7 linked regions of the Callithrix jacchus genome follow. The protein of the gene in region 1 interacts with the protein of each later gene in a pairwise test. Links are inferred from orthologs where the notes say so. Each region holds a gene or a part of one and is shown on either strand. Other genes may lie near its edges. The genes, in order: TRIM23, COX5B, NEK6, LGALS8, TBC1D22B, TRIM29 and HOXB5.

What was found.
Region 2: the proteins of TRIM23 (region 1) and COX5B interact in binary tests that used the Homo sapiens proteins (3 or more experiments, as listed by UniProt). The two-hybrid records come from large-scale screens. The link is inferred for Callithrix jacchus from reciprocal best matches to the Homo sapiens genes TRIM23 and COX5B.
Region 3: the proteins of TRIM23 (region 1) and NEK6 interact in binary tests that used the Homo sapiens proteins (3 or more experiments, as listed by UniProt). The link is inferred for Callithrix jacchus from reciprocal best matches to the Homo sapiens genes TRIM23 and NEK6.
Region 4: the proteins of TRIM23 (region 1) and LGALS8 interact in binary tests that used the Homo sapiens proteins (3 or more experiments, as listed by UniProt). The link is inferred for Callithrix jacchus from reciprocal best matches to the Homo sapiens genes TRIM23 and LGALS8.
Region 5: the proteins of TRIM23 (region 1) and TBC1D22B interact in binary tests that used the Homo sapiens proteins (3 or more experiments, as listed by UniProt). The link is inferred for Callithrix jacchus from reciprocal best matches to the Homo sapiens genes TRIM23 and TBC1D22B.
Region 6: the proteins of TRIM23 (region 1) and TRIM29 interact in binary tests that used the Homo sapiens proteins (3 or more experiments, as listed by UniProt). The link is inferred for Callithrix jacchus from reciprocal best matches to the Homo sapiens genes TRIM23 and TRIM29.
Region 7: the proteins of TRIM23 (region 1) and HOXB5 interact in binary tests that used the Homo sapiens proteins (3 or more experiments, as listed by UniProt). The two-hybrid records come from large-scale screens. The link is inferred for Callithrix jacchus from reciprocal best matches to the Homo sapiens genes TRIM23 and HOXB5.

What each region holds. Positions count from the first base shown.
Region 1 is NC_133503.1:143,875,339-143,878,838, forward strand, and holds part of TRIM23 (E3 ubiquitin-protein ligase TRIM23), read left to right. Parts: intron 1-2,705; coding exon 2,706-2,868; intron 2,869-3,500.
Region 2 is NC_133515.1:6,951,296-6,955,292, reverse strand, and holds the start of COX5B (cytochrome c oxidase subunit 5B, mitochondrial), read right to left. Parts: upstream 2,801-3,997; 5' UTR 2,782-2,800; coding exon 2,679-2,781; intron 1,523-2,678; coding exon 1,449-1,522; intron 1,278-1,448; coding exon 1,178-1,277; intron 4-1,177; coding exon 1-3. UniProt on the Homo sapiens protein: Component of the cytochrome c oxidase, the last enzyme in the mitochondrial electron transport chain which drives oxidative phosphorylation.
Region 3 is NC_133502.1:172,970,049-172,973,548, reverse strand, and holds part of NEK6 (serine/threonine-protein kinase Nek6), read right to left. Parts: coding exon 3,462-3,500; intron 525-3,461; coding exon 414-524; 3' UTR 1-413. UniProt on the Homo sapiens protein: Protein kinase which plays an important role in mitotic cell cycle progression. Required for chromosome segregation at metaphase-anaphase transition, robust mitotic spindle formation and cytokinesis.
Region 4 is NC_133520.1:48,839,528-48,843,027, reverse strand, and holds part of LGALS8 (galectin-8), read left to right. Parts: intron 1-2,085; coding exon 2,086-2,235; 3' UTR 2,236-3,500.
Region 5 is NC_133505.1:45,628,680-45,632,179, forward strand, and holds part of TBC1D22B (TBC1 domain family member 22B), read left to right. Parts: intron 1-61; coding exon 62-132; intron 133-1,504; coding exon 1,505-1,633; intron 1,634-3,500. UniProt on the Homo sapiens protein: May act as a GTPase-activating protein for Rab family protein(s).
Region 6 is NC_133511.1:19,766,595-19,770,094, reverse strand, and holds part of TRIM29 (tripartite motif-containing protein 29), read left to right. Parts: intron 1-728; coding exon 729-821; intron 822-2,993; coding exon 2,994-3,092; intron 3,093-3,500.
Region 7 is NC_133506.1:117,682,744-117,687,017, reverse strand, and holds HOXB5 (homeobox protein Hox-B5), read right to left. Parts: upstream 2,801-4,274; 5' UTR 2,685-2,800; coding exon 2,123-2,684; intron 1,477-2,122; coding exon 1,229-1,476; 3' UTR 264-1,228; downstream 1-263. UniProt on the Homo sapiens protein: Sequence-specific transcription factor which is part of a developmental regulatory system that provides cells with specific positional identities on the anterior-posterior axis.

The sequences.
Region 1 (3,500 bases):
GCAGGTTCTCACTTTGTCACCCAGGTGGGAGTGCAGTGACAGGATCATGGCTCATAGCAACCTTGATCGCCTGGGTTCAAGTGATCCTCCCACCTCAGTTTTTGATTTTTTTATAGAGACATTGTCTCACTGTGTTGCCCAGGCTAGTCTTGAACTCCTGGCCTCAAGCAGTCCTCCTGTCTTGGTGTCCCAAGTGCTGTGATTACAGGTGTGAGCTACAGTGCCAGGTCTAAATGAATTTGATAATGTGAAACTTTTCCCTTTTAAAAAAATGGAGGATAAACTGAAGTATGTCTCTCTCTATATAATGATAGAATTATACACGAGTAGCTGTTCTCCAGCTGTGTCACTTTCTCATGGGGAACCAATGTTCCAGTGTTACTGGTATCCTATATATCCTTCCAGGAAGATAGTATGCTTATACAACAATATAAAAGAAATTTGCTCTCTCCCTGTTTTTATGCAAAAATGAATATATTCTATTTATCATTTTTCTTTTTGTTTTAGTCATAGGAAATCATTTTGTGTATACATGAAAAACTTTTTCTTACTAGCCTATGTAGTTTTTTAGTATTATTAAGTACCATAATTCATTTTCCAAGCTGATAATTGATGTATATTAACTTTGTTTTCAATTTTTTGCTAATGCAAATGGTGTTTTAAGGAATAACAGACAGATTTTGTCACACATGTCTAATATGCTTGTAGGATAAATTCCTGCAACTGGAATTACGGAATTATTTAAATTTTTGGTAAGTATTGACAAGTTGCCCTCCATAGAAGCAATATTGCTCAATGAACATTTCACAGTAATCAGTAATGTATGAGTGTCTCCTTTCCCACACCTTCACAACCAAGTGTTACCAACATTTTTTATCTAATCTGAAAAAAAGTATTTTGATGTAACTTTAGTTCGCATTTCTTTTCTTTATTTTCTTTGAGACTGAGTCACACTGTCACCCAGGCTGGAGTGCAGTGGCACCATCTTGGCTCACTGCAACCTCTGCCTCCCAGGTTCAAATGATTAGCCTGCCTCAGTCTTCTGAGTAAACTGGGATTACAGGCACCTCACCACCATGCCCAGCTAATTTTTTTGTATTTTTAGTAGAGACGGGGTTTCACCTTGTTGGCCAGGCTGATCTTGAACTTGGCCAGGCAGGTCTCAAACTCCTGATCCTTGGCCTCCCAAAGTGTTGGGATTACAGGTGTGAGCCAATGTACCCAGCCTTAATTTGCATTTTTCTTATTAGTTAGATTGAACATCTTTTCATGTAAAGAATTTTCATCTTCTTTTCTGTGAACAATGTTAATGTTTCTTATTTTTATTTATTTTTCTTTTCCCAAAGCCTTATTTACATTGAAGGACTAAATTTAAATTTCTTTTGAAGCATAATAAGATGAAAGGCAATTCTGAATTATCACTTTATTTATGGTGAAAGATATTTGCATCTCATGCACTAAGTCCAAGTTAATTGCAGAGTTAGGTTTAAAATCGTAGTAGATTTAGTCTGATTTCTTCCTTGGGCTTAATTGCTTTTAAATTATTTTGCTGGACTTTATGTAAGCAGTAGGTACTTGGTATTTGAAATATCCTATTTCTGAGGGTTCTTTGGTCTAACAGGGAAAAACAGGCTGAAAAACTGGTAAAGGTATTAAAGTGCTTAGGATGTTATGGTAGACACTTACACAGAGTTGGGCCCAAGGGACAAGTGTAGTCCTTTCCTCAGCGTTAGCATGAAGAGACATGAAACGGTTTTTCATGTTCTGAGAACTACAAGCTGTTGGATATAGTTGGAGCACAGGGTCAGAAGAGTGTGGCAGTGAAGCAGTAGGACAAGAACCAGTTTGTAGCAGGTCTTGAATGGCAGACACAAGAGTTTGAGGTATGATTGAATAGTACAGTGTAGGCATTTTAAAAAAATTAACAAAAATGGAAACACTACAAATATACTTAGAAATAAGTGCTGAAAATGCTTTATTGGTATAAATACAGTGTTGACTATAAAACATAAACTTATGGACTTGAGAATCAGAATATGCTGATAAATAGCCTTTCTTTTGACTGACTGTGTAGCCTTGTGCAAGTCATTTGCCTATAACTAGAACTAGATAAACTAGTTTCTAATTCAGAGCTATATTTATTGATAGAGAACAGGAATTGAAATTTAAGTTTAAGGTGACTGCTTCTTTGCCTTTATATTGTTTGATGTAATTAGATACTAGAAGATACTTGAAAGTTACTTGTAGTCTTAATAAGTTCTTTATCATTTACAAGAGTAATTATTATCTCTGTACATTTTTTAGATTATTTTGTTGAAATTAATGATAGTTTATTTTGTTGAGATTATTCATAGGTTAGGTAGTTGCAGAGAAATTGCTTAAGAACCCGCTTTCAGTAGAATTATATATTTGTACAGATTCAGATGTAATGAGTCAATCATAATTTTCAAAAGATAATGAAAATGTTAACTTACAGCATCTTTGCCTCTAACAGTATTTCAAAGATATTTCATTATAATTTTGGCAGGGTCTGTCAGATTGAATGACTTAAAAATGATTTAAGATTTTACAACCTACATAGTTTTTTTCATGGAGGAATAAAGTAACAATGTTGATTCAATATATTAGGTCAGTTTTCTTACATACTTAAAAATGTATGCTTTTAAAATTGTTTGAAGAGCGCATCCTTTCTTTTCAAATATTAGGTGCTAGAGTGTGGAGTTTGTGAAGACGTCTTTTCTTTGCAAGGAGACAAAGTTCCTCGACTTTTGCTTTGTGGCCATACAGTCTGTCATGACTGTCTCACTCGCCTACCTCTTCATGGAAGAGCAATCCGTTGCCCATTTGATCGACAAGTAACAGACCTAGGTAGGAAAATTATTTGTGTGGATTTAAGATTGAAAATTGTTCATGTAATGCAAATGTCATAGAAAACAATTTCCTTTCACTTGGTTTTTAAAATGATAAAATTCCCAGGAAGTTTTAGAAAGCCTGAGTTTCTGTTAAGATTAATAATCTTCAAGCTATAAACTATCTCACTCTTAGTAATTTTATCTTCTGAGATGTTTATATTCAATACTTACATGTAAAGAGCTTTAAGTCACCTAAGAAAAACCTGCTATCCTGATTCAATGAAATAAGAATATGCATCACAGGGTGAATCATTTGCCTGAAACCATTAACCCAATAAAACAATATTTTCTTTAAAAATAAATAAGCCAATAATGAAAATACAGGTAAGTCATTAGAGTCTCAGAATGTTTTTATTTACTAATATCAAAGACGGAAGTGTTTGTAGCTTGTGATCGTTACTCTTTATTTTCTGTTAAAATAAGTTTGAAGGGTTTGTGGATTTTTTTTTTGTGGTTTTCTATATACTTTTAAAACTTTCTTAATATATTTCAAAGTAAGTTATTTTCAGGTACCAGATTTGGAAATAATAGTATTTACTAACATTTGAACAATTATTTTTACAAATATAAGTTCTGTGAGTTTACTCT
Region 2 (3,997 bases), on another chromosome or scaffold:
CACCTAAAAGGGAAAAAAGGTGGTTGAGTCATTCTGTCTAGAAAGGGAGACTTTCAACATGAATTTCTTTTCCTCAGACACCTCTGATACACAAGACAGACTATGGTCAAGATAGTGACCAATAATGGTCAGTTCAAGCCCTCCTCCCATTATTCAGATGAAGAAATTGAGGCTCTGAGTCCACCTATAAGTAAAATGACCTAATATCAGGGTCACTGTAAATTCTTTTGTTTTTTTTCATCTCGCCCCGTCACCCAGGCTAGAGTGCAGTGGTGCCATCTCTGCTCACTGCAACCTCCACCTCCCAGGTTCAAGCGATTCTCCTACCTCAGCCTCCCAAGTAGCTGGGATTACAGGTGTGCACCACCATGCCCAGCTAATTTTTTGTATTTTTGGTAGAGACAGGGTTTCACCATGTTATCCAGGACGGTCTGGATCTCCTGACCTCGTGATCTGCTCGCCTCACCCTCCCAAAGTGCTGGTACTACAGGTGTGAGCCACAGCACCCAGCCAAGGCTCACTGTAAATTCTAACAATTCCCCTGCCCATGTAGAACACAAAGGAGGTCCATTCTGGTATGTATCCCTACTGTCTAAAACGATGCCTGGCATAGAAGCAATATAACAATAAATATTTGCTGGGTGGATACTCCTTCATGCCACACCTCCACTGAGCCAGTCTTTCCACCGTGCTGCGCTTCTTTCCAGGAAGGATGAACTATCAGGCATAATGAGGCTTGAACAAGACCCATAGGGAAACTCATTTACAAACATGTATTCACACACTATAAGATTTAAAGCAGCTTGGCCAGGCCCGGTGGCTCACACCTGTAATCCCAGCACTTTGGGAGGCCGAGGCGGGTGGATCACGAGGTCAAGAAATCGAGACCATCCTGGTCAACATGGTGAAACCCCATCTCTACTAAAAATACAAAAAATTAGCTGGGCATGGTGGTGCGTGCCTGTAATCCCAGCTACTCAGAGGCTGAGGCAGGAGAATTGCCTGAACCCAGGAGGCGGAGGTTGTGGTGAGCCGAGATCGCGCCATTGCACTCCAGCCTGGGTAACAACAGCGAAACTCCGTCTCAAAAAAAAAAAAAAGATTTAAAGCAGCTTATAGACTCCTGTACTATAGGATATATATTAAGTGGATAAAGAAATAGAGGTGAGGTACTTACAGATACAGCCCACTATTCTCTTGTTGGTGACAGAAGGAACTAAATTAGGGTCTTCCTTAGTGCCTGAAGCTCCCTTTGGGGGCAGTATATTGTATGGGTCCTGAAAAAAACACAAGAATTGAACCATTATGCCAAATAAGCCCTACGTTCCAGAAGCTCAGCGTGTTCCTATAAGCCAAGTTCCCTGGATCAAATACTCCCAGAGAGGAGACTACTATGAACACATACAAGAACGTAAGTTCCACGGAAGACACAGAAAGGAGTTTCTCACCAGTCCCTTTCTTGCAGCCAACATGATCTCCCTCTCCAACCCAGTCGCCTGGTCATCATCACTAGGAACACCACCTACAGGAAGATATGTGAATTATGATGCTGACTGAAATGATAGAAAAATTAGGAACAGAAATGATCAAGAAGAAAAATGCCACACTGAAACTTCTGCATACGTTTTAGTGGGCTCACAAGCTCCTAAAAGCTACTCATATCCATGGTCCCCAAAGAACCACCAAATCATGATCCACACAAGGGGCAGCACTTGGGGGAGCTGCTGCTTTTTTTTTTTTTTCCTCGTTGCCCAGGCTGGAGTGTAATGGCAAGTTGTCGGCTCACTGGAACCTCTGCCTCCTGGGTTTAAGCGATTCTCCCGCCTCCTGTGTAGCCGGGATTACAGGAGCACGCCACCACGACCAGCTAATTTTTTTTTTTTTTTAAGGAGTTTCATTCTTGTTGCCCAGGCTGGGGTGCAGTGCTATGATCTCGGCTCACTGCAACCTCCGCCTCCCGGGTTCAAGCAATTATCCTGCCTCAGCCTCTCCAGTACCTGGGATTACAGGTGCCCTCCACCACGCCTGGCTAATTTTCGTAATTTTGATAGAAACGGGGTTTCCTATCGTCCTGGCCTGGCTGGCCTCGATCTCCCAACCGCAGATGATGATCCGCCCGCCTCGGCCTCCCAACGTGCCGGGATTACAGGCGTGAGCCACCACGCCCAGCCCAATTTTTGTATTTTTAATAGAGACGGGGTTTCACCGTGTTGGCCAGGCTTGTCTCGAACTCCTGATCTCAGGTGATCCGCCCACCTCGGCCTCCCAAGGTGCTGGGATTACAGTCGTGAGCGCCCGGCGTAGGAGCTTTTCCTTCTCCAACCACCGAGACCAATTTGTCGACATTTGTCTAAAAGCAAGTTAGAGCCCACTCGGCTTGAGGCGGGCGCAGGTTTGAAGGGCGGCCGGACCCCTCCCCAACCCGGTCGCAGTCCCCACCCCTCCCAAGGTCACCCGGCACCTCCGTTTAGGATACTTTCGCAGAGGAGTCAGTTCGGGGGGGCGGCAGGAGCAGCGGCCTGGAATTATAGGAAGATGCCTGCAGAGCCTGAGACACTCCGGACCGTATGCGGTCACTGGGACCTCTAGTAGCTGCACGTCACGCCCCGCTCTGCCGCCCTGGGACCACTACGGGAGGGCAATACTCCGGTCCCTGGCAAGCCTGGGGAGCCGAGTACCTCCAGAGGCCATGGAGCGCACCGCGGCCGCACCATTGGGACCGCGAGCCCTCAAGGCCTGCGCGGCCAGCGCTCCGGCTCCGCGAAGTAACCTTGAAGCCATCGCGTCCGCGACAAGCAACAGCACTTCCGGGAACAGGATGCAAAGACAGGAGAGACTTCCGGGGGCGGGCTTCTTTCTCCTCCCGGTCAGCTTTCCGCTCCTTCCCCGCCCTCGGGCCCGCCCACTCCCGCCACCTTGGCGGGGGCGGAAACTGCGCATGCTCAAGTGTGCCTTTCCCTGCACCGCACAGTAGCTGAGGCTTGGGGGCGGGTTTGCTCTTTAGTAAGGCTGAGAGGTGAGCAAGTTGTTTTGGTGTTTGGAGCTCAGCGGCTAAACCACATTGGAGTTCCTCTGTATCTGGCCTGCACTTGGAGGCTACTGATGGAAGTCATTAAGTCCCCGCCTGTCAAGAGACTGACTGGACCCCAAATGATTTGAATTTGAAAGTGGGCTCCTAAAGATCTCTGCGTTCCTTGCTAGGCTAGTTAGTGGCAACGCTGGTTCTCTGGCAGTGCGTGAGCCGTCGCGAGCGTGTTGCATTGGACGGGACCTACCTGCAGTACTGGCCCAGTTTCCTGTTAGAGTTGTACTGTGGGGGGTTAGGCGCCGGGGTCCCTGCGGGGTCCCGGCCTAGGGAGGAGGACAGGACGGCGGCAGGACCCCGCCCAGGACCAAGAGCCTGCTGATGTGAAGAGAGAAAGTGGCCACTCTTCGAGGCCACTAGGGGAGGAGAAGTTAAAAAGGGGAGTTGATAATGGGAAATGGAGTCAGATCCTGCTGTGACTGGAATTCCGTTTGAAACGGAAAACATCTTCCGTCCATAGCTTTCCGTTGCCCCCACAGGCTAAGATGTGCAAATTTCTTAGGGTGAGCTTTAGTCTGTGTAGCCCTATGACAGGCTAGCTGCATGCGGTATCTGAGTTTCCCTACCAGATAGAAAAATCGCTTTAGAGTGGAATTAGCTCATTACTGAATTTTCAATGCCTTGCAGAGGTCTGGTATATAGTAGGATCCAGTAATTTTAGTAAATTTACTACTTGGATAGACTATATAAAACCAGTTTATAGGGCTTCTCCTGGCCCAGTGAGGTCAATTGGAAGCAAACTGGGTAGAGTTGAAGGCTCAGATGCTCCCACTTGTCTCATGCAGGCTATGATATTTTCAAAAGGACACGGTGGAGCATTGCCTCCCAGGAGCACGTCTGGTCTTCATGGGTGCCCCCTCCACCAATTAAAAAAAAAACAAACACCTGTATTCTGATACAAAAACCACCTTT
Region 3 (3,500 bases), on another chromosome or scaffold:
ACTGAACTTGGTACTAACCATTTTCAAAGGCTCACTATACAAATCACACGGTCTCCTGCAAGTAAGTCTCCTGTTAGCATCGACCTTGACAGGTCACTGGAGGAATTACCGGAAAGATTCACAGTACAATCCAGATACAGGGCTGCCGTGGCTCACTGAGCCACTGCCCTTGTTAACCCAGCTGGGATTGTCCGCAACAGAATAAAGAAAGGACTTTGGAATTTGACCATCAGTGATGTGTGGCCAGTGCGCCTCCCTCAGCTGCTCTGCCTTCAGCATCTGCTGTAAGGCTGCGCAGCCTTTTGGGGAACCTGCTGAACCCTGTGGGCTTAGCTGTTCTAGGCTACCAGGTGGCCACTTGAAGAGAAGACGACTCAGGTAAGGCAAAGTGGTAAGGCACGGTGCATCCACGCTCAGGTGCTGGACATCCAGACGTGCATCTGCTTGGCCACCTGGTGCACGTACCCGATGTCAGGCCTCTGGTCGGGGTCAGGGTAGATGCACATGCTGACTAGTTCTCGTAACTGCAGGGGAGAGAACGGTGGGTTATTCTCAAGAAAGCAGCCTTACTGAGGCTCCATGCTCCGCAATCTATCTGCATGAAGGTACTTGAGCCTCAGAGCAACTAGACAGTCCCGTTGTCCCCGCAGAGCTGAAGAACAGTGTTTAGTGGGGGCAGGCAAGGGGCGTGCGGCCGCGTGGCTCCCAAGGGCTAGCCAGGACCCCTCCTGGGCCTAGTGCACTTTGAGACCCTAAGACCACTGGGCAAATTGTGGGTGTGTCTTTCTCTCTGCTGGGAAAGTGTGTGTGTGTGTGTGTGTGTGTGTGTGTGTGTACTGTCAGTCACGCAGATGCCCAAACCAGAGGACAAAACTCAAGGAAAGGGCTTATTGATCATAATAAATGCATTAACATGCAGCAGGGCTGCAGCCTGCCCAATCTCGGCCCCTTTATTGTGCTCATGAAAGATGGAGCTTTTAATTATACAGACACTGAAGGCTGCTCCTGCCCCGAGGTGGGGGAGGGGCACAAGTGCCTCTGATCGGCTCAGTTCTTATGATAGCCAGAGTGCCAATTATTTTAATGGTAATTAAAATAATGACCTTAAAATGCCTACATCTTCTTAACTTGCATCACGGGCTCACCATCATTGGTTTTCATTTAAATACCTGCTGCTGGAGGGGTGGCCAGTCCCACAAGCCATGGCGGCAGCAGGAAGCCAGGAGGTCCTGAACCAGAGGAGGCTCTGGTGGTCTCAGAGGTCACACTCAGGGGAGGGGCCAAGGGACATTCTGGAGGCCCAGGGGCTAGTGCCGGCCAGGGTCCTTAGGCTGAGGGGTGGGGCCTGGGCTTCCTGTAGACAGGCTCCTGAGGTGATGGGGCATTTTCTCTGGGCTGCAGAGCCTTAGGTCAGCCGCTCCAACCTGTATGCATGCCTTATAGCGGAGAAGCCCAGGTGACAGCGGGGCCTGCAGCCTGCTGGGCTGCCCCTGGAGTCTGAGGTGGCCTATGGACCAGACGGCTGTTTTCTGAACCTTACACTATTCGGGGGAAGGTACCTGTGGTTGGCCTCTGACAGATTAAAATCCCAGAAAAACCAGATTCAGGTGAAGAGTCTGTGACCTGCACTAACTGATGAAGTAGACACACAGCTGGCAGTAAGTCCATGTTTGAAGTTTTCAGAATTCAAGAGAAATGATAACATATGTTATTTTCATTTCTAAGCAGCAATGTAACTAAAACTAGGGTGTGTCCAGGGGCTCCTGAGTACCACCTCTCAACCCCAAGCATGGGGCCCAGAAATGCTGCACAGGCCTGGTGAGAACTGGTGCTGTGGGGAGCGGGGGCTCGTGGCCAGGAAATGGCTGACTTGGAACGGGGGGTTTCAGTGTTCATTTCAGCCTCATTACTGAAGCAGAGAGGACAGTTCCTGTTTATAGATTGACAACCAAAGCACAGGGCTGTCATCTGCTTCAGTTGCACGGCTTCAAGCTTCTGAATTGTACACAAGTCCAAATTCAGAAGATGAGAAAGGAAAAAGCAAATGGCAACTCTTCACTTTGTAAAGAGATGCAACTTGTTTTTCCTCCCACTGGGGAGCATCAATACTTCTTCCAAAGGTACAGGTTGAAACTGTGAAGCTAGGAGAGGAAGGGCCGTGTGCAGTGCCCCAGAGCACTCGTGCTCTAGCCCTGGAGTCCACGACGCCATTGAGCGCAGGTTCCCCGCGAGGAGCCTCCTGCCTGGACATGGGCAGAGCATGTGGGACCTGTCCTGTGTAGCTTGGCCAGGGCAAGGGTGTTCCTTCCAGAGCCTCACCCCAGCTAGTTAATGGGGCACCAAAGGGACATGCCACCAAGTAGCAGGAGGGCTCTGGCTGGGCGTCTGGGTTCCGATCCTGCCTCACTGTCTTTAAATCGCCTGTGTCTGTTTCCTTATTGGTCAACGGGTCAGGGGAAGATTCAACTCAGGAAGTCTGAACATGAGCTATTATCATGAGGTGATGGCCTGTGGTCCTATGGGGTGGGCCCAGGGAGGCCCCAGACCCACCCACTAGCACTGACCTTGAACAGAAATAAGGGTCACATGACATTTAGTGAGCACTGACTGAGCCAGGCCCTGTCCACTGGCCACTTTTGATGGTGGTGGCAGTGTTAGCTTGGTGCCTTACCCTAATCCTTACGCTGATCCTGTGTGGAAGGTTTATTATTATCCCCATTGTATAGATGAAGAAACAGACTCAGGAAGGTTAGGTGACTCACCTAGGAACAGTGCAGGCAGTATGTGAAGGCATGTCTATACTTTTGACCCTACTGTGCCAAGAAACCTATCTTCCTCACGATTATTCACCAAAAATGTTTAGTTCTATCTTCAAGGTGTTGGAGCCGAGGAAGAAAATATTTGCACATTCCTAGTAACTGGCACAGCCCACACCAAACCCATCAGAGTCTGTGTCCATGGCCCCTGCAGCCAGTGTAAAATGTTGACAGTAGAAGCCCAGGGTGTGGCTTAAGTCTGTTACTATAAGGAGGAAACTGACCAGTCTCCCTGCCGTGGTTTCCTGCCATGGGAGCAGTGGCAACCATCGGCAGTATGGGGACGCCAGGCCTGCTAGCTACATCCTGCCCCCGCATCTGTTCCATGTCTGGCACTGCACAGAGTCCATCCTGGGGACCTGCAGCAGCGGGCCTCCTGGTGCACCAAGCTGGGAGCCAAACAGGTGGAGGTTTGCCAAGGGCCACATCCCACTGGCTCCCGCCTGGGGGTCCTACACCGGAGCCGCGTGGTGAAACCCCTTCTTCAGTGTAATCACCTACTTTCACCTCTCCAAATCACTTTTCCAGAAAGTGCCCTTTCTGTACCATGTAAAGTAAGCCTGACCTCAGCTGCGATGCTTTGGAGTGGCCCTCATGAGCCTTGGCTGCCAGAGCTGACGAAGCCTCCGGCTCCTGCAAACTCACCTTCTCGGAGTAGTGCTCCCCGGGGAGGGGCGGGTAGTC
Region 4 (3,500 bases), on another chromosome or scaffold:
TTGGGGTTCACTGGAGGGAAATAGAGGGGAGTGTTCCAGAAAGAAGTTGAGCCCTGTGGTTGGTGACAGGAAACTAACGATGCAGCTTGTTTTCGACGTATCTGGGACCCAAGTTTGGATCTACCAATTAATATAAAAAAGGACAATAATGATACATTCAAGTCATGCTGAAAAAAACTAAGATGAAAATATCTCCAACTTCGTAATTCAAATCATTCCATTAGGATTCGATGAAGCACATTCCAGATATTCTTTTGTAGAGACACAGTGAAAAGGACGGCTGGCTGAAGGAATGAATCGATGGATATTGTATGCTTCCGAACAATGTCTCTTCCGTTTGTTAATTTTCTACTTCACCAACGGTCATTATCCTCATGTTGATCACTGTTGACGATGTTCTATACTGACAGGTCCTTTCCAGGGGCTTCCATCTCTTGCTTTTCCAACATGCTTGCACTGAGACTATCTCAGGTCTTCCCATTATGCCATTACTTTCATTTAAATCTTCTTGCTGTTCAAACATACTTTAGTTGTATCTACAGTGTTGTTTTAAAAAATCTCATTCGTTGTTGTCATTTCATCTGTGGGCTCTTCTTCTGGATGAACTCCATGTTCTCCCCAGCTGTTCGACAGCATCAGATAGTTGTGAGGGATTGTTTTCTGTTTTCCTCTAGGCTGGGGGTCTTGCAAATGATGTGCTTTCTTTTCATTTGCAGTAGTCCGCTCACCCAGAGGCATGTCATTTCCTTGCCACTTGGTTGTAAGTCATTGGCTCTGCACTTGCTCTGATATAGTCCAGGCTTCGACTCCCTCTGCTGCCAACTTGGTTTTCCTTCTGAGCTACAGCATGAGGCTGTGTGTTTTGTGTTTTCCTGAGATTTTGTGAAATATTTCCAAGTCCCTTCTACCTGGTTAGAACTGGGATCCCCACCATTCTTGTGGGGATAGAATCTCGGGTTACACATACTTCCCCAGTCCTCTGTAGCCATAGAAGTTTCATTTTGGCCAGCTCTGTTATCAGAGTGCAGGACTCAGCTGAAATTTCCTCCTCTTCCTCTTTTCCTCGACAGCCCTTTTCACTGCTCCTATCAAAAGAATGAAGACCTCAACTTGCTGCTTTGCAGATTCAGGTTTTATGCTCCAGTCTGGCCTCTGGAGTGGGGCCAGGTTGGCAGCAAGGTTGAGCTTCCCCTCTTCTGAAGCCTTCATGGGGGCGAGGAGCACAGGGAGAGCTCCGTGCAGGACCTCCCAGTGTCGTCCTCAGTGTGGGTGGAAACCCAGCCTGGCACTGGCAGCGTGTACCAGAAGTATGAGGTTTAGGTATAAAGATGATGTAAAAGGCTAGTAGGTTTTCTGGGTTTTCATTGTTTGAGTTTGGGGCACAGACGACTGTCAAGGGCAAAGACTAGTGATGAATTTGAACGGACTCTGCCAGGATGTGCATCCCTGCTGACTCAGGGTACCCGGCTTTGAGGACTTTGGAGAAACACACTGAGGCCAAGATGTGCTGAGCTGGGATGGAATCAGGGTCACCAAGCAGCTGTAAAAACCGTAGCAGCAAGTGCCTTAAGCTGCTGAAATTTCATATTAATTGTCTGGTTTGTTCATGGTCCTAGAGTTTGAGGCAGAAAAGTCAGGATCCAAGTCCCTTGGTTCCAGTCTACTAGCTGGAATCAGCATCTTAGTGAACTAGAGTGACAGTGTAAGTTTTCCCACTTTAGGAGAGTCCCCAGCATCAGTGAGGAGGGGTAGCACTCCACCTTTCCAGGAGCGAGGGGCAGGATATCCTGGCCCAGAAGCGGGGCCTGTCCTGAGGAAAGGAGGGCCACAGGCCCTGGGGACGTGTGAGGCTCCAAACATGTCCGAGTAACTTCCCTGGGTGGGATGAGGCAGACAGTGCCACCACCAGGGATACTTTAGTGAGATTAGGGTCTTGGGAGTCAGAGAAGGGAAGTCAGCAGCAGCAGGCTAGAACTTTTCTATATATAAAGCAAATCACATCGTTTACTCTGACACCCTATTAGTGTGCAGCAAACATTTTTAAACTAAGGGGAACCAGTAATGGCTTGTTTCCTTTCCTTTCAGATGATAATTTATTGTGATGTTAAAGAATTCAAGGTTGCAGTAAATGGTGTACACAGCCTGGAGTACAAACACAGATTTAAAGAGCTTAGCAGTATTGACACGCTGGAGATTAATGGAGACATCCACTTGCTGGAAGTAAGGAGCTGGTAGCCTACCTACGCGAAACACAGAATGCTACAGAAACCGAAGTACAGAATGGCTTCTGTGATACTGGCCTTGTCGAAACGCATCTCACTGTCACTCTATTGTTTATATTGTTAAAATGAGCTTGTGTACCGTTAGGTCCTGCTGGGTGTTCTCAGTCCTTGCTATGAAGTATGGCAGTGTCTTGCACCGAATGGGGAGATTGGGGGCAGTAGCATTTACAGCCAGTTAAAGCCACTCTGCCCTCTCTCCTACTTTGACTCTAAGAATCACATTCACCAGGTATTTATGGAGTACCTACCATGATACAGTAGCTAACATGTATTGAGCACAGATTTATTGGTTAAAACTGCGCAAGGAGATGGGATATACAATTGGTGGTGAAACAAACCAGTGTGTTCCCTGTTGTCTTGGGCTTCGACTCTTCTGTGCTTTACCGCTGTGCACTGCTTCTACAGGCATTGCATCAACTCCCAAGGGGCCCTCTGGGATTAGAGATGCAGCTGTTAAATCACCTGAAGACACTAATTTATAGAAGACGCTACCCCTTCCCCAGTGATCGCTCATAACCAGTGCTCCAGCATATCCCATAACTGAGAGGACTGATGTTGACTGACAGTTCATTTTCTTTAGCATAATAAACATAGAGCTCTATTAGCTGCAAGCTTTACCAAATAATAACATGACATCTGAACACGGCACAGAAATTAAGGCAAAAAAAAAAAAAAAAAAAAAAAACCAAAGTAAAACTAAACAAAAAAAAGGTGCTGAAATTAACCACTGATGTCAAGCCCAAGGCAGCTGATTTCTGTGTGTCTGAACTTAGGGTGAGTCAGAGTCTACACAGACTCCTACAGAAAGTTTAAGGAAGAGGCAAGATGCATTGAATTTGAAAGATATTCATGGGTAGTAAAGTAAGGTCAGGATTAGACTTCAGGATTAGACAAGGCAGGCACTATCGAAAGTGTACACCAACTAGGAGACCCACAAAGCAGGCAGAGGTAATACAGAAATCAGTTTTGCTCCCATGCAGATCACCACTCAGGGCCTCCATTCTTCTAAAGATGAGTCCACCATTAGCACCTGAGATCAAAGCACTCTTCTGTGTTAAGTGATTAAAGTCAAACCTGTATCAAGTTAAATTGTTGCATTTCTGTAATTTTTCTATTATTTGAGGGGAGTTGGCAGAAGTTTCATGTATATGGGATCTTTACAGGTCAGATTTTGTGACAGGCAATTTCAAAGGTTTGGAAGTGGGGAGGGAAAAAAGT
Region 5 (3,500 bases), on another chromosome or scaffold:
TGCGGTTTGCTTTAGGGCATTTGTGGAGCGTTAACCTAACAAGGCAGTTTTCTGTTTACAGATGAACTGAGGAAGTGTAGCTGGCCAGGGGTTCCCAGGGAGGTTCGACCTGTAACCTGGAGACTCCTATCGGTGAGTTCTGCCCGCTGTGTAGGGAAATGTGAGCCTCATACGGCCCTTCTTGCCTGACGAAGTTAGTCTGGACACATTGGTCTTACTCCATAGACTGCTCTGGTCCTTGGATATGACAGCACTATGGGACTATAGTCCTATTTCTGTGCATAAAGAAACACATTCTTGAGAGTTTATTCACACACATGTAGAGGCACACAGACTTGAACCAATAGTCATGGTCCCACGTTCTTAACAGTGAGGAACAAAAATAGAGTGAGATAGGGTGATCACAGCACTTGCTTTGAGCAAGCTCCAACATTTCCTGTGCTTCGCTCCTGTTTCAGTCAGATTAACCAAAGTGTTGAAACCCACTTTGAACTGTGAAGAGCTGATAAATGGGCCTCTCTTGGAAGCCTTACTAGTCCTGTTTTCACCAAGTACAGAGAGAGCACTGTGCCAGCCGCTATGATAGGAACACTTGGGTTTCCTGAGCCTGTAAAATTCATTCATTCATCTAGGGAAGATTTACTGAGGGCCTGCTGTTTGCCAGGCATAATGCCAGGTGCTTTGAGCAGATACAAAACCACGGTCCCTGCTCTCCAGGCACTCACTGCAGAATGCATTACAAGTTTTCAAGAAGAAGGGTCTGTCTCCTGACTGCTCGCCCCACCCCTACTCTTGCAACCATGTAATCATTGCCTCCGCCACTTCTAATAAGTTTGAATGCTATTCAGAGTAGATTTGGTGAGAACGGAAGGGAAACAGAAAACATAAGAATGAGAGTGGGATCTAGACCAGGGATAAGAATGAAAGTTGGCCTGGAATTTTGGCTAGGCGGGGGGGATGCTGCCAGAAGTTCTGTCTGGGCGTTGTAGCTGTTATGTCACAGATTCCATTCAGCTGCTTCCTAAGCTGGTAATTCTGAAAGTTACACTGGAAAAGAATGTAACTGGCACCAGCTTAACTTGGCACACTGCTGAGATGTGCTGTAGAGGTTGCTATATCCCTGCAGTTCTCAGAAGTACAGCCCTGCACACACGCAGCCCTCTGAGGCCATGACTTGAGGCCAGCTCCCTCCCACTGACCTACATTCACTCCTGTATTGTGCCAGCTCTGGGAGCTGAGGAGTGCTCATCAGTGGCACAAGCTCCAGCACAGTGCAGGGCCAAGGGAGTCAGTAATCCCGGGAAAGCTGGCCTTGCTTCATCTGCTCACATGTGGATCTCATTGAATGAAGAGAGGGCAAACACTGGGTGGCCAGAACCAAAAAGGGATTTACCCTTGGCAGTTTTCCTTCTTGATAGTTTCCAAACCATACCACTGCATAGACTAAAATAAGGATTTATCCAACCATTGTCTCTCCCCATCTGACCAGCAGTCTTGTCTATAGGGCTATCTCCCCGCAAACACTGAGAGGAGGAAGTTGACCCTGCAGCGGAAGCGGGAGGAATATTTTGGCTTCATTGAACAGTATTATGACTCTCGAAATGAGGAACATCACCAGGATACCTACAGACAGGTACAGTCATCCCCAGCTGCCTTTTCGCTTACCAGTCTTACTCTTTAGGTATGTCTCGTGGTAGCGCTCTCAGGGCACAGGATTTCCAAGTCTTCAGGCTGTGGTATACTGGTTAGGAGTTAAATTTATCCTCAAAACCTTTTCTCCTCTTTTCATTCAGCAGCTCTGATTTTAGCCATTTTAAATAGACTTTTTTGGCACTAGTCAGTGGCAGTGCTTCTCAAACTTTAATGAACATACAAATCACCCAGGATCTTAATAAGATCTCATCTAGAGATTATGAGAAAATGCAGATTCTGAGTCAGTGGGTCTTGGGTAAAGCCTGCAGTTCTAACATGCTCCCTGGTGATGCTGCTGCTGCTGGTCCACCAACCACACTGTGAGTAGTAAGATTTATTGAGCATGGAGAGAAAAGAAAAGCTCACTTAGTAGCGGTCCAGTTCCTCTGGACTATGACATCAGTATTCTTTCGGCAGCTTCAGTACTGGTTCGGCACCTATGACTGTCTGTAGGAGCTGTAGCTGTCAGTAGTCTTGTCAGGGAGTCTTCCGTCATTGCCCATAGCAGTCCTCATGGTCTGTGGAAAGGTTTGCTCCCAGCATCACATGTGGAGGGAGGAGAAGAGTAGGCCAGGCGTTGCAGAAAGTGGAAGGTGGGCAGCTATCTACAACAAGCCTCAAGAGCTGAAGTAGCCTCTGCTGCTGCTGCTGCTGCCGCCGCCGCCGCCGCCACAGTCTTTTGCATAGTTAGACTGAGCATTGGGAAATCTCCGAGTTGAAATGGACCAGATCAATGTCTTAGGTGACAGAAGTAAGAACTTCCAGCTTCGGTTACTAAAGGGCAACTCCTTTTGGTCCATCCCCACTTCTTTTTTTTTTTTTTAATTTGAGATGGAGTCTCGCTCAGTTGCCCAGGCTAGAGTGCAGTGGTACGATCTTGGCTCACTGCAGTCTCCACCTCCTGGGTTCAAGTGATTCTCCTGCCTCAGCTTCCCGAGTAGCCAGGATTACAGGCATGTGCCACCATGCTCAGCTAATTCTTATATTTTTAGTGGAGACAGGGTTTCACCATGTTAGCCAGGCTGGTCTCAAACTCCTGACGTCAAGTGATCCGCCCACCTCAGCCTTCCAAAGTGCTGGGATTACAAGCATGAGCCACTACCCCTGGCCCTTCCCCACTTCTTATATGTCATGACTTCATAAAGAAGTCCTTCTCTGGTTCCCTGTTTTAGGACATTTTTGCAGCTTTCTGAGCTCTTTTAGTTCTTAGAAACTGTTGATAAGTAAGATTCTAAAAGAAAGGTATCTACTTGGATCGCACCTGCTGCATACATGCCCAGCCCAGATTGAAACAGACTTCAGAGCAGTAAGAAAAACCCCTTAGGCTGTGAAGCCTATTGCCATTTGACTTAAGTGGTTTCTACTGAGAGGTCTCACTGTTCAATATGCTACTGCTATCATGGAAATATGTTCCACATGGGCAGGTAGGTATAACTAGATTTTTTTCTGTGTTAGTCACGCCTTTCTGAAGATAAATTGAGCTCTTTTACAACTTTGATTCCCGTTTCTTTAAAAATAAAATTAACAACTGGCTGGGCGTGGCGGCTCATGCCTGTAATCCCAGCACTTTGGGAGGCTGAGGCGGGCAGATCACCTGAGGTCAGGAGTTCAAGACCAACCTGGACAACATGATGAAACCCCATCTCTACTAAAATACAAAAAATAGTCGGGCATGATGGTGGGTGCCTGTAATCCCAGCTACTCGGTAGGCTGAGACAGGAGAATCGCCTGAACCCGGGAGACCGTGGTTGCAGTGAGCCGAGATCGCGCCACTGCATTCCAGCCTGGGCGGCTGAGTGAGACTCCAT
Region 6 (3,500 bases), on another chromosome or scaffold:
GCTAAAGGGACTGGATCCTGAGTCTGGGAGCTTTGAGGTTAGCGGGATTGACAGTGGCTGTGATTCCTTCCCGGGAGGGGTGAGTTTCCAGCAACCTGTGCTCAGTAGAGGGGACATGACTGTGATGGGCAGAGGGCATCAGGGACCACCGGCACAAAGGCTTACAGGCGGGACGGGCGGGGCTGGAACTGGGGGTGTGGTGTCTTCTGAAGGTCAGGTGGGGAGGGACAGAGGTAACAGAGGACTGGAATACACAGGGGAGCTCACTGATTTCAGTTGTACAGTGGGGGTGTCAGTCACCACTGCTTCCTCACGAGGCTGTTGTGAGAGCCCAGGTGTGTGGGAAGGAAAACACTTGTGAAGTGAGGCTCTGATCTCCCGGGAAGCAGTGCCTGTGTAGGCCCCTGGGAGGTGTTCTTGGTGCATCAGGCCAACTCCAGGAGGCTCCATCCTCATGGGGCTGAGAGCCTGCCACCTCTGCCCCAGCGGTGGCCATGGGCTCTCCAGGTGTATGCTGATGCTCTCTGCATGGCTAACAGAGCCCTTCTACTCTCAAAAGCATGCTGATTTGGGTGATAAATTAGTTGATTACCTTATGTCAGACCCAAAGGACCTCTCTCAGTGGTGGAATCCAGGTCTTGTGGTGGGCACTTGAGCAACTTTTGGGGGCAAGGAGTGCTGCATGACACCCTTTTCTACAATGACAGCTCCCTTCATCTGCTTCGCAGGTGGGGCCCGGACATCTTACCAGCCCTCGTCTCCCGGCCGCTTCACCAAGGAGACCACCCAGAAGAATTTCAACAATCTCTATGGCACCAAAGGTAGGTGGTGGCTCAGCTTGAGGCTGCACAGGGTTCACATGGGGCTGTGCAGGCAGGAGGGGCATAGAAGTGGGGCCATGGGGCATGGGGCTGGGTCCACAATGTGAGCTGGGATGGGTGGGGGGCCCAGACATGGGTAGGGAGAGGTCCTACCTATGGAGTTTGAATTGTGTGTGGATACATTCGTGGGATACACCATTACTTAGGCTGGTGTCCCTGAAGTGCCTGTGCTCTTTTGATCCCTGAGGAAGAATCTGGGGAAAACTGAGGCTGAGTAGCCACCTTGGGCATAAGTGTGGGGACCCCCCACCCCGCTCACAGCAAGTATCAGGGCACGAGGACCCACAGAAAATCTCTACTGATTTGTGTACTTCTGCAGTGAAAAGTTGTACAGTGGCTAAAACAAGTTAGTTTGGCTGTGACTAGAAAAGAAGGCATGGCAGGAAATGGGGCTGGCCCTGGAGCTCCAGGCAGGGAGGTGATCAAGCAGCACCTCAAGACCCAGGAGAGGTGAAATGGGGGTGGGGACGTGCCTGTCCCAGGGGAAACTGCTCAGTTCAGGGTCTCCCTCTGCCCAGTGCTCTGAGGGGACCATTTGCCCAAGAGCAGGGCCATGCACTCAATGAGACGTGGTTCTGAGAGGCCCTGGTTCTGTCCTGGGGGCTCCTGGTTACATGCCAGCCATGCATGGGGAGGGAGAGGACCAGGTCAGCCCCAGGCCCGGACATAGCACTGGAGGATTCTTCAGTGAGGACAAGACCTGTGGAGACAGGAGGGTCAGGGGCACCTGGAGGACAGAGCAATGCCTGGGCCTCTATGACCAGGACTGGATTCACAGCCAGGACCAGGGGTACCTCCTCTTCCACATATGCAGTAGACCGTGAGCACCTTGAGGACAAAGCTTATTTGTCCTAATCAATGCTACAGCCCCAGGACTCAAAAGTAGGAAGAGGTCAGGCCAGGAAGCAGCTGTTGAGAGAGATGAAAGGCACCAGTGAACAGAAGGACAAGGTGTCTGGCCTCGCGGAGCCCTGGGTGGGCATGCTCATGGAGGCCTTGCTACAGAGGCTGCCTGTGATCCCTGTGGGGGGGCTTTGCACTGGGGCCAGTGGCCAGCCCCAGCCATCTCTGAGCCCTGAGGCCAAAAGTCAACCCCAGCCCTCCCCACAGACAGCTGACGGGTGAGCTTGACTAAGGAGGCCACTGATGCTTCAGGCCTGGTGGGTGGGGGTGTGGTGCTGGAGAAGGGTGCGTCACCCACAGGGGCTCTGAGCCCCCACTCCGATGCCCTCTGAGTGCCCTGGCTGCTCCTCCCACCCCCTCCTCACTGCCTTCTTTGGACTACGGGACATGCCTGCACATAGGCATGTGTTAGTCTACTCAACTTGGCAATTATCAGCTGCCTCTGTCCCCAAATTTTAGGTGTTTGTATTTATTTGTTCATTGGTTCATGCATTCTATCCATCAACCATACAATGAGCACCTTCTGGGAACCAGGCTCTGTGCCAGGCTCCGGGTGTGATGCAGGGGCCAGACAGGCACATTCCCGGTTTGTGTGAGCTCTCTGCGGGAGGCAAACAATTGAACAAGCAATGGCAACCCAGAGGGTAGCGGGCGCAGCACGATGTGGGGAGGGGGCTGAGGCACATGGAGACACTGGGAAGGTGCCATGTAAACTGACACTTGAAGACCCCACACATGAATCACCGAGGGTGGGGAACAGCAGGAGGGTCCTAGGCAGAGGACAGGGTATGGGCACACAGCCTGGGGCAGGAGAGAAACTGGAGTGTCTCAGACAATAATGCTCAGCCTGGTTGGAATGCTCTGTGGTGGAGGGAGAGCAGACATGAAGCCAAGAAGTGGGAGATGGTGGGTGGGTGGCAGGGGTTGTGGGGAGCAGCTCATGACAGAGTTGTGGGCTGCGCTTGGGACTTTGCATCTTATTCTGAGGACAGTGGCCTTTAGGTAGGGCAGGGAACTGTCTATGTTTTATATTTTAGAAAGGTAACTTTGGGGCAGAAGGACAGGGGTGAGGCATCACTGGGATCACAGAGTGGCATCTTGGCTTAAGTCGTGGCCAGCAGCTGGAGAGTCACTGACCTGGCTGTGTCCTGGTCGTGCCTCCTCTCCCATGCCCAGTTGTGGGGGCCTGACAGCCCTTTGCCTTGCCAGGTAACTACACTTCCCGGGTCTGGGAGTACTCCTCCAGCATTCAGAGCTCTGACAATGACCTGCCTGTCGTCCAAGGCAGCTCCTCCTTCTCTCTGAAAGGTAAGCTTGCCCAACCTGGCCCCCTGCTTTCCCTCGCAGCTGACCGCACCTCCCAAGCTCTGCTTTGGTCTCTTCCCTGAGCCACTAGTTCCTCCCTCACCTTCTGGAGGAGAGAGCTCTGGCCCAAGAGCCTGGGGAGCTGCCACCATGGTCTTTGCTGGAACCGAAGGCAGGGTGGGGGCTGGGCCACATCAGTGCTTCCCAGGGCTTGTTTTACTGCACACTAGTCTCTAACGACAGGCTGCAACAGCGGCTCTCAGTGGTCAGGACAGGGGGACACACCACACCCCCTGCACCCCGACCTCTCTGATCCTAAGTGTGCTGCTTCTGCTGCAGAGTTTATTGAATTCCCAGCGTTGGTTGGCTATAGGGTCCTGTGGGCCTGGAGCACCCGCCAGCATCCCGCAG
Region 7 (4,274 bases), on another chromosome or scaffold:
GAAGACCAGGATGGACTCTAGCTCAGCCTTTCCCCTGCCCCAGCCCCACATGGGGTTTCTGGGCCTTGAAGTCCCCCCAAGCATGAAGGTCTGTTCCCTGGCCCAAGCACTGTTGACCAAGCCAGGGACTTACAGGACTGAGAAGAGCTGTTAGGGAGAGCCTACTTTTTCCACCCTGCATCCGAGATCTACTAAGAATGGTCCAGGATGTGCCCGGGATGGGAGAGGTAAACCCCTCGGAGAAAAGACAAGTGGAAGGGCAATGGAGTGGGGGAAACATTTATTTGACTTCAAGGAAAGCTACAAACATATACCAAAAGCGAATCACCGAGACAGGCCCCGCAAAGACAGATTTCACACGTAGCACAGCATCCGCTCGCTCACTACAAATGGTCTTGGAAGAGAAATGGGTAAGGAACAGATGGGTCTGACCCAGACTATCCCCATATTTACAAGCTTTGGGCCCTCTAGCCAGACCTATGGATTCACAGAGAAATACACAAGACATATTACACTGAAGATCGTTTTTGTTTCCGTATACTCCCAGACCAGGCCTTGTGGGGCCTACCCAGGCAGCAGGAACTTAAATCTCACTATCTTCTTTCTCTCTTCTCAGTATCACCCCTTTGGTCCTCCCCAGCCTCTTCCCACCCTAGAACCAAGCCCCTAGGAGACTTGGGCCTGGGGAGTGGGGAAGGAGGGAAAGGAGAATGAAAAGAGACTCCATCTCAGAGGCCAGCTCAGCTTGGCCCCACTGCGGTACTACCCCAACTCAACTGCTGCCCCTTAGAGAAGTTTCCAGCTGAAACTCAAAATACAGTGATCATCTTTTTATAAATAAGTTAGAACACAGATGGGGAGGGGAGAGTTCACATTAAACATGCGAATTTCTTTTTTTTTTTCCCTGGGGGAAGGACTGCAACCACAGACACAAACATTCAGAAACACTGGTGGATTTGGGGCAAGCGGAAGGGAGTTGGGAGCATGGAGGGAAAATAATAATTATAATTATTATTAACAATAATAACAAGATAACCAGTCCAGGAGAGAGGGAGCCACAGGAAGACCTAAGACCAAAGGAAATATCGAAATATCTTAACACAAGGCTGGGGCGAGGCAGGCTTGTGGGAACCGGTCCCCAGCGGGCTGCGGCAGTGCGGGGAGGATTGAAGGGGCCAGGGCTGGGGGTGGCACGGGCTCTTGGGCCGCTGGGCTCCTCTGGGCGGGCTCAGGGCTGGAAGGCGCTGCCGGCTGTAGCCAGGCTCATACTTTTCAGTTTGTTGTCCTTCTTCCACTTCATGCGCCGGTTCTGGAACCAGATCTTGATCTGGCGCTCCGACAAGCAGAGTGCATGGGCGATCTCGATGCGCCGTCGCCGGGTCAGGTAGCGGTTGAAGTGGAACTCCTTTTCCAGCTCCAGGGTCTGGTAGCGGGTATACGCGGTCCGGGCCCTTTTCCCGTCCGGCCCAGTCATATCTAGAGCAGATAGAGGAAAGCCGCAAGGCAATGTTATTCCGGTTAAGGGAGGGGGCACTGGGTGGGAGGGGGCGGGGGAGCAGGACCCAGGCGTCCCGGCACCCAGCTCACCGCAGCTCCAATCCTCTCTACTCCAGATGCCCACATTCAAGCTCGATTTCTGCACCCCCTTCTCCCGCATCCCCCACTTCTGCCGGCAGCCAATGCGCCCGGCTTTGTCTCTTGCTGACTCCTAGTGCCTCACCCTTGGCTGGGCTCAGGCGGCCGCTCGCCCCGGAGGGAGGAGAGCGGTTGCACTTTTGCCCCAGAAAGCTCACCCTTTCTTTGCTAGCGGTAGTCTCAAAATTTCAGGGGTAAGCAGGACTCTTCCCCACATTATATGAACCCCATCCTTTATCCTAATGCTGGTATAGCTGAGCTAATAAAAACCTAAGCCGAAGCTGGCAACAAATTATTAAAAATACCCCCCACCACAGAGAGACCCTGTTTGGCTCTGTCTACAAAGCTATGAGGCCCCTCTCAGAGACTTCTCCCCCTTGGAAAAATAAATCTATATTTGGGGGAAAGCCAGGTTCTCCTTGTCCCCACATCCCACCCCAAAACGCAGAGAAGGAAAGCTGAGAAGACAAAAAAGAGAGAGAATTACCGTGGCTGATGTGAAGCTTCCTCATCCAGGGGAATATCTGCGGAGTCTGCCCCTCGGGCGCGGCTGTGGAGGTGGCCATGGGCTCTGGCTGCGCCCGAGCTAAGCTGGGGCTGCTTAGCTGGCTCGCCGCTTCCTCAGGCTCCGAGGACGCGCTGGCCTCGTCTATTTCGGTGAAATTGGCGCTGGAGCTGGCCGAGGTCGCCTGGTCGGAGGGGGACGAAGCAGAGGGCTTGGCTCCGTGGCTGTCGCCGTTAGTGCAGGGCAGGGACTCGGGCGAGGACAGGGAGCAGCTCGAAGCCGCTTGCCTGAAGCGGGGCTCCTGGGCGGACGCCGGGAAGGCGCGCGAGCTCTCGCCCACCGCCCCAAAGTGGCTGGAGGAGGCCGAGGAGCGGTTGACGCTGAGGTCCATCCCATTGTAATTGTAGCCGTAAGACCCGGTGTGCATGGCAGCGGGATCCCTGTAAGAGCCGCTCAGAGAGCTGCCACTGCCATAATTTAGCAACTGATAGTCCGGGCCATTTGGATAACGCCCCGAGAAGGAGTTTACAAAGTACGAGCTCATTTGGGTGATTTTGGAGGGCTTGATTTGTGGATCGTGGTCGTTATAACCCTGTGCTTCACGATTTATGATGTATTAATGAATTATAGCGATGCACTGTACTTCGTTTTGCTATGTATGCGGCCAAATATGGGGGGGGGTTGGAAGGGGGGTGGGGGGGCGTTAGGGAATCACGTGCTTTTGTTGACCAGTCGTAAATTCTCGCTGATGACCTCAAGAGGTAATTCATGCTCTATGGTTACAAATAATGACGATCCGAGAATCGTTAGGGCCGATTCAATGCGAGCCTCCGAGAGAGGGGGAAAAAAGGAGAAGGGGGAGAAACGGGGAGCAGATTGGCGTTGGCCTCTGAGCAGAGCGCGCCACCTCCCGGCGATCGACGGGAGCTCGGGAGGGAGACCGCCATGGCGGCGGCGGCTGCCTCCCTGTTGGCTCCCTGCAGCCGCGGGGAGAGAAAGAAACCCGGCCAAGGCTCAGCCACAGGGTTGAGCGTTTTAGAGCAGGCGTTAAGCTTTTTACCCACTTTCTTGTGGGTGGGGTTAGCCTCTCTACTTGGGTCCTTTTCCCTACATCATCGTCGTTATTATTTTAACTTTGGATGAGAAGATCAAAGATTAAGTTGCTTTTCCCTTTCTTGGGCTTTGCAAGTCTCTGAATTGGGGGCGGAAATGGGGGAAGGGTTGGAAGTTGTGTGTGAAAAACAATTATTGCAACAGTTTCTCCCCCGGAGCTCAGCCCGACCTGCATCCTGGAGGGACTGCTATTGCTGTCCACAGCTCCCAGACCGAGCGTGGGGCTGGACGGGTGGCTTGAAAAAGCAGCAGGGGAAGCGTTCACTTCTCCTGGGCCACTTGGAAGTTTGAAATCCCCTTCCTGACCTCCTTGGTGGTCCTTAGCCCAGGCCTGGGGAGTGGCAGAGCAGGACAGGGACCCCAGAAACCCAGCACAGCTGAGGCTAAGCGGCCTAGTTGCCGAAAAGACTGCAGCGGCCACCGTGTCGGTGGCTTGGGTTTGAGTAGTAACATGTGTCTGAGAGTTTGTAAAGCAGGACCCTTTCCCTCCTCCTCGGCTATTGCATTCGGAGGCCCCACTCCAGGCCCCTCATTCGCAGCTGGGCAGTTTGAGAATTTGCCTGGTGGCAGCCGCCTTCCCGAAAAAGGGGTTCCAAGGACCCGCACGGTTTGTTGAGCACGCTGGGCGGCCAGAGACCGCCGCAGCTGGGCCCCTATTACGAGGCGACGATTTTCTTTAAAAAGGGAGCGAGAGGGCGGAGGAATAAAGGAAAACAGTGTCCACAGCTTGCCCTCTGGGTGCCCGTGGGAGCGGAGAGAGAATGGGCCATTCTGGATTGAAAGGATGACACTAAATGCCCCATCACCTGGCTTCCTGCCCTGGGGTCTCCAAGGAGCAAGGGAAAGCCGTGCCCCTCAGCCTGTGCCTGGCTGGTGGCTTTACATTCCCCTACTCATGGCTGATCTCCTACTTGAGGTGGGAAGGGGCACCTGGAGCCTTCAGCTGCAGGGCGAGAGATACCCAGTGGCCCCATTTTTCAGTCTCCAGAGCCACAGGCAGGGAGCAGAGGGCCAAGGCTGG